Linked DNA regions of Macaca fascicularis. The protein of the gene in region 2 interacts with the protein of the main gene of each other region in a biochemical or structural test. Links are inferred from orthologs where the notes say so. Each region holds a gene or a part of one and is shown on either strand. Other genes may lie near its edges. The genes, in order: CAB39 and STK26.

Evidence for each region.
Region 1: the proteins of STK26 (region 2) and CAB39 are reported together in a solved structure, tested with the Homo sapiens proteins (2 studies listed by IntAct, with this or other methods). The link is inferred for Macaca fascicularis from reciprocal best matches to the Homo sapiens genes STK26 and CAB39.

The regions. Positions count from the first base shown.
Region 1 is NC_088386.1:126,716,338-126,720,162, reverse strand, and holds part of CAB39 (calcium-binding protein 39), read right to left. Parts: intron 652-3,825; coding exon 483-651; intron 1-482. UniProt on the Homo sapiens protein: Component of a complex that binds and activates STK11/LKB1. In the complex, required to stabilize the interaction between CAB39/MO25 (CAB39/MO25alpha or CAB39L/MO25beta) and STK11/LKB1.
Region 2 is NC_088395.1:138,326,788-138,330,612, forward strand, and holds part of STK26 (serine/threonine-protein kinase 26), read left to right. Parts: intron 1-614; coding exon 615-800; intron 801-2,218; coding exon 2,219-2,367; intron 2,368-3,728; coding exon 3,729-3,822; intron 3,823-3,825. UniProt on the Homo sapiens protein: Serine/threonine-protein kinase that acts as a mediator of cell growth. Modulates apoptosis. In association with STK24 negatively regulates Golgi reorientation in polarized cell migration upon RHO activation.

The DNA.
Region 1 (3,825 bases), on a different chromosome or scaffold from region 2:
GGAGAGGTGAATCCACTGTTTCCTCAGGCCTATTTACAATGTATCTCTGTCCTGAATGTGGTCCTAATATTTCATGAAGTGTATATTCCAAATTAACATAAACCTGAACAGAAGCCAACTACTTCATCTGGTGCTTAACCAAAGAAACTGCTACACAATGTTTCAACACAGGAGAAAACCTGGTTGTTACACATGCTGTACAGTACATCATACTTAATTATAATTTAACAGCAAAGTAAAATGTTGACCACACAGGACTTTTGTCTTTTAGATATATTTTAGAATCTAACTTTTCCACCCTTTTAAAGCTGTGACTTTACTGCATATACCTCTTTCACACAGACACATATAAAATGTATCTTTCTCTTCCCACTAGAGGGCAGCCACGTGTAGATTTAGGAGGGCAACGAAGGTTTAGAAAAACAGCACACCTGTTAATCTGACTTTCAAGCATATTTAGAATTCTACAGTTTTTATGTTACCTTGAATGTGGCAAATGCATCTGAAGCTATGTCAAATGTTGACATTTCGACATATCTGAAGAAATCATAAAACTGTTCCGACCACAAAATGATTTTTGCAAGTGGTTCATGTCTGATGCATTCTCTTAACATTATTCCACAATTTAGAGCTATTTCTGGAGATTCATACCTGCAAAAACAAAAAACCAAACAAACAAAACAAACAAACAAATATGATTGCTCTTTCAAAACTCCAACAATGAACAGTTCAAACTTTTAGGGCAGAAAGTTTTCGGACATGTATCCTAACTAAATGACCATCGCAGATTACAGAAGGTATTTCTGTAGAGCATGTGCTCAGGTAAACTGATTCCAGAGTGCAAACACACACTAGTTGGTGATGACCACCTTAAACCAAAGAAAAATAGCCATACGAGTGACTGTGTGACTAAAGGTACATTATTTAAGCTGAAAGATTTCAAGAGAGGTATTTCGGGTCATACCATAACTCTATACAGGGGTTAGCTTTTACAGATGGTGCTCTTGACACTCAGAAAAACCAAAAGCTAAATCAAAACACACAAGACAAACTATTTCCCCAAATTCAGAGTCTCTAAATAGGTCTATGAATATATAGAATTTATACCTTGTTGTTTTAATTCAATACTCAAGATAGTACTTCGAGTCTCTCAGCCACATGTAAACACCACCAAGCTGATAAGCCTCCTCCTGAGGACTTCACTAAGGGTTCCCATCAGAGAGCCCAGGGGCGACGAAGCAGGCGGCCCCCCCTCGTCAGCTCTCCACACATAGCCTTCCCTATGCTCATCCCCATGTCTCTGGCTTCTCCTCCCCTGCCATTAGAGAGACACCTCTCAGCCAAGCAAGAGGCATTTCCCCTTCAGATGTGCACAAGCCCTCTGACTGGCCTCTTCCGCCCCCTCAAACACATCGCTCTCTTCTACTTCCTCTCAAGCTGCATGCACTGGCTTTCTTTCCACCTCACATTCTCCTCTAGTTTCTTGTAGTCATATTCCATTTCCCAACACACTAGCGAAATAAATAACGGGCCAGCAAAGATTCCCTCTTGGCTAAATAGAGTCTTCTACTCAAGTGTCCTGACAGGCTGTAAAAAACCAAACGAAAATAAAACATTTCACGGTTCTCTCCTTTCTATCTCTCTGACTGTTCCTATTTCTTGCCTGGCTGAGGTCTTTACCTGTATCCCACAACCTGCTAATGAAAGCCCATACAATCTCATGGCTCCCACCACGACTACTAACCCCACCTCCATGTCTACTCCTGAATTAGGCACTTTCTGTTGCCTGTGGACAACTTCCGTTAAAGCGCTACCATAAACTCAATGTGTCTCAAATCAAATCTCATCCCCCTCCATAAAATCACCCCCATCCCGCTTGCTTCCTCATTTCTATAATTTGGCATCATTATTTTGTTTCAGTCATCCAGTTCTAAACCAGGTTTAACAGAAATTTCCATGTTCTGTATCTGTGCTGTTCATTATGGAGAGATTGGCCATATACAGCTACTGACCACCTGAAATTTGTCTAGTGTGACTGTGGGGTTGAATCGTAAATATTATTTAATTTCAATTAATTACATGTGGTTAGAAGCTACTATATTGGACAGCCCAGTTCTAAACCTTTCCTTCTTTACTCCAAATCTTCCCACCTTCAATGTTAGGCTTTGAAAGCCTTCAAAGGCTTTAAAAAATGTTTCTCTGATTATCTTAGTTTCATTTGCTTTTATCCATTCCCACTGCTACATTTATTCATACCCGGACAATTGCAAATGCTTCCTAGCCAGCATCTTTGTTCAAGCTCTGTCATAATAAATCTACCCAACACACAAGTGTATCAACAGCATTTCCAGCTTGGGAGCTTAAAATGATTTCTTCTAGCTAATCAAATAAACACAAACTTCTGGACTTAACTGTCCAGTCTTCCCCTCATTAGATCTCCTGTTATAGCACAATGTCACCTCCCACCCTGCCATACAACTTTCAAATTTTCTCCTTACTGCTGCCAATCATGTTATGTTCATTCCTGCCCCTATACCTTTGTTCCCAGTCATATGCCATTAGGATGCCTTCTCTCTCTTTTCTGCCTATGTAAATTCTAAACTAGTAGGAACTCCCATCTTAAGTCCTATCCTTTTATCAATCCTTGCCTTATTAACTCAAACCACATTTTATCCTCTGAAATCCTGTAGTACTCATTTGTTATCTAGTAGTGGTGTCCTCTTACACATCATAGATCCTCAACAAGATAAAACCACACTCCTTGGCATCAGTGGAGGCATGCAGCTAGAATGCTGACTGGCTCTTACTTGATGGAAATATCTGCTCACAAAATGGCTGATCATACAATTCATCTTTGCTGAACTTTAGTAGGCAGGAAGGACAAGGGTAAGACAGTTTGGTACAACAAGTTGAGCAGGTTTTGATGGAGGCTTGTCAAGCTTGTCTAAATGATTAAACCATAAACAAGTACAAGGCAAACAGTTATGCTGTATAACCTGTGAGCACTAAAGTGAACAGCATATTAACATGTAAACTGCCAGTAAAAAAAATCGCCTCCAAATGCAGTCTAACACCAGCAATAAGACTTCAAATGCATGCTAATATTAGCAACATGGCCCCCCAAATAAACATCTACCATAGAAGTACTTACAGCCTAAGAAGATAATCACACTGTATGGAAGCAGTTTAAATTAATCAACAAAGGTACAAAAATCTTAAAATGCAGTTCACAGTGCTCCTTGAAGAAATGGCTGTTTCCAGGTCTGGCAGGACTCATACAAAATGAGCAAGATGGTCATCCTACGCCAGAAAGCAAGGAAGCTATCACAGACTGATGGGGTCTTGCCAAAAGAACGCAGAAGCCAACTTGAAGGAGCTCCCAAGGGCCAAAGATGGGGCAATTTGGACACAAGAAAGTAATGACTGGAATCGACTGAGACATATCAAATGTAATTTTTAAAAAGACAAAAACTTGAGTGTATAATGATCCTTAAAACAACTCAATACTTATCTAAGGAAGTGGCCAGGTCACCAACTGATTATACTAAAAAATAATACCTGATTATACTAAAAAATGAGACTATTTTGGGATAACTAAGTCATCAAGGAGGAAAGGTTCTTCTTTATAAAAACAATTTAATTATATGAAGAAGAAATAACAGAATCAGGAAACTGCCATTCTGAATCTAGGCAATGATTCTCAATGGAAACTAAAACCAGGTGGCGAAAGGTCAATGAGAATTCTGTAATGGACGGATTACAGACTGAGAACACCTGCATCCACTGGTCAATCCCAACATCACCAGCAGTGGGATAACCAGTGCC
Region 2 (3,825 bases):
CAATCTGGCCATTATCTGCCTCTCCAGTCTTATCTCCTACCACTCTCTTCTAGATTATTCGTCCACAGTGGCCTCGTGGTTGTTCCTCAAACATAGCAAGTACACCCTGGCCTCAGGACCTTTGCACCTGCCCTTCCCTCTGTCTGAAAAAATCTTCCTCCCACAATCAGGTCTGCTTAAACATCACTTACACAGAGAATTCTTCCCTGGCCATCTTATGTAGATCTGCAACACTCTTGCCCCCATCATTCATTATTCTCTTACTATGCTTGTTATTTTCTTCACAGAAGTTAACACCATCTGGCATCATATTATGTATTTATTTATTTATTTGTCTCTCTTATTAGAATGTAAGCCCCTTAAGAGCAGGGATTTTTGTCTGGCTTATTCACCACTGAAATCCTCCATTCTGAGAAGGGTACCTGACACAAAGTATGGAATTCATTATGTTTTAAATAAATGAATTATAGTAATAAAAATTTATTAACACCACATTTTCTTGAGAGACAAGTACTGTATGACCATTAGGTTCCACAGACTATTTTGTGGTAGTATATTGTAATGGAGTTTCAAGGTGATATACATATATATATTTGTTTTTCCTTTTATCTTAGGCTGACATTTGGTCGTTGGGAATTACTGCTATTGAACTAGCCAAAGGAGAGCCACCTAACTCCGATATGCATCCAATGAGAGTTCTGTTTCTTATTCCCAAAAACAATCCTCCAACTCTTGTTGGAGACTTTACTAAGTCTTTTAAGGAGTTTATTGATGCTTGCCTGAACAAAGATCCATCATTTGTGAGTATATATTGCTATCATTACTATTTATTTTCTATTATTAGATCTACTTATAGCAAAGGCAGCTTTTCCTGCAATAGGGAATACAGTGCATGTGAGAATTGTCTAAGATCCATCCAGGAACTTGGTTCTTCCTTCTGTACTGCTACTTCTATTGAGTTATTAACCAGATTCTTCATTCTTTTTCTCCTTACCCTTCATTTTTTTCTTGGTACCCAGCTTCCTCCTTATTCTATTCATTATTTCCTATTTCAGGGGGAAATAAATTTGAGAAGTAAAGTTATCTTTATATTATGTCATTATTAAAGTGCATGTATAAATACAGTGATTTTTATTCAGCTGTTTTCATTTTTCATGAAAAGTTATGTTTGGGTTTAACTGTTTTTTTTTTTTTTTGAGTCAGAGTCTTGCTCTGTTGCCCAGGTTGGAGTGCAGTGGCGTGATTTAGGCTCACTGCAACCTCCATCTCCCAGGTTCAAGCGATTCTCCTGCCTCAGCCTCCCAAGTAGCTGTGATTACGGGCACCTGCCACCATGCCTGGCTAAGTTTTGTATTTTTAGTAAAGATGGATTTCACAATGTTGGCCAGGCCAGTCTCGAGCTCCTGACCTCTAGCGATCCGCCCTCCTCAGCCTCCCAAAGTGCTGGGATTACAGGCATGGGCCACTGCGCCTGGCCAGGTTTAACTATTTTTATTTAGTGTTTAGAAACTTCACCGTGGAGTTGTATACTTTTCCTAGGCTAGTGAGCTCCATTCATTTACTTGGCAGATTCGATTACAGTTGTTTTGCTGTTGTTGAAATAAAGCTGCCTTGTGATTTTTCGAGACGAGAAATACACAAGAGCAGTCCAAACTTGATATAACTATTTTTAAGTTGATGATAAACATTGTGATATTAATAAAGTGAAGGCGGGACATTCTCCACAGCACCTGGTGTTTGCATTTAGATGCAATAGACATTGATGTCTGATGGAGAAGGGATTATAAGATATGTGTAAATAATAACAAAACTACAGCCTTGCAAGTTTTCATCAGTTTTTTTCAAATTTACAGTAAATGTGATTAAAGTATTTTAGAACATTACTTTGAAATGTTTTTAAATGTTTACTTTCTAAATACTGTCATGTGTCTCTCTGCTTTTGAGAAGGCCCTGCCTGCCAGTTTGCTGGTGGGTAAGCCACCTGCTGCCCATTGGGCTTTAACAAATTTAGACGCCAAAGTAGTAGATTCAATGCAGTTGCCTTGAGCCACTTCAATAATAGAATTAGCTATTTTCCTACAGCATTTTAGTTGTTCTTATATCTACAGACATACCTTTATACCTTTCAGCTTAATAATTCAGATGATTTTTTAACCATTCCTTGTAATCATAAGAGTTCAACAATTGTAATATGCAGCCTTGATCTTTTTATCCTTAGCGCCCTACAGCAAAAGAACTTCTGAAACACAAATTCATTGTAAAAAATTCAAAGAAGACTTCTTATCTGACTGAACTGATAGATCGTTTTAAGAGATGGAAGGCAGAAGGACACAGTGATGATGAATCTGATTCCGAGGGCTCTGATTCGTATGTACAAATTATTTAATTTTTATGTAGGTAGCCTATTTAAATATTGTATATCTTTTAGCTATGATCAGTGTGCTTGTTCTAGCATAAAATATAAACCATATTTTGAAATTTCACCTTAGAAACTGTAAAAATCTTTTTCAATCACAGTCTAGAATACAATGAAGTTGGAAACATGTTTTTCTTGGAAGTGAATAGCTCTAGTTTTAAATGGTCTTGGTCTAACCCCTAGTGGATACTTGAGTATATTACAAAATTTTGGAGCAAGATTCAATTAAAAGTGTTATATTAGTTTGCCCAAAGTAATAAGGAGCTGTGTTTTCTCATACTTTGATGGCAACCTGCAAAATCCCTCTAAAGAACTTTCCTTTCCCACCTCTTGGCCATGTACCAAATCCAGATCAGACTGATACATTTGAATATTCATTTATGTGTAATTTTTATTTCTTGAAAAAGTTGTAGTGTTTTATAACAGCAGCGTTTACATTAAAAATTCAGCCTCTAAGTCCGTCAATTAATTTAGACTAGGAAAGTCTGTATGCTATGCCAGAATTTAGTCCTCTACCAGCTGAACTGGCAAAAAGGCAACACCAAATTTATTTAGATACTACCCTGAGATTCTTCCATTTATGAGAAATTGCTCAATGTTGGAAAGGGATAAAAAATATCAGAATAATTTGTGCCCTATTCTGATGGGTGTTAGCCTTAGCTTCCCATAAGAGTCACTCATGGAACCTTTTTATTTTTATTTTTATTTTTTATTTTTTATTTTTATTTTTATTTTTTAAATTTATTTATTATTATTATACTTTAAGTTCTAGGGTACATGTGCATAACGTGCAGGTTTGTTACATATGTATACTTGTGCCATGTTGGTGTGCTGTACCCATCAACTCGTCAGCACCCATCAACTCGTCATTTACATCAGGTATAACTCCCAGTGCAATCCCTCCCCCCTCCCCCCTCCCCATGATAGGCCCCGGTGTGTGATGTTCCCCTTCCCGAGTCCAAGAAGGATGAGTTTGTGTCCTTTGTAGGGACATGGATGCACATGGAACCTTAAAGCAATCGCAAGCCACACCACTGGAGATCCTGATTCAATAGGTGGGGAGCAGTGAGGGACAGGTATTTACATTTGGTAGGAGGTCTCAATGAAGCACACATCGAGCTGAGAACCACTCCACTACCACTCTGTAGTAAAATGTAGTATTCACCTGCAGCTGAGATCAGATCTTTTTTGTACCAGGAGTTTTTAAACATTGGGACAATTATTCCTTTAGATTCTACATACATCGATTTGATATTTTTGCCAAGCTGAATCATTTGGTCACTTATAGAGGTATCTTTGGCAATCTCTTTAGGGAATCTACCAGCAGGGAAAACAATACTCATCCTGAATGGAGCTTTACCACCGTACGAAAGAAGCCTGATCCAAAGAAAGTACAGAATGGGGCAGTA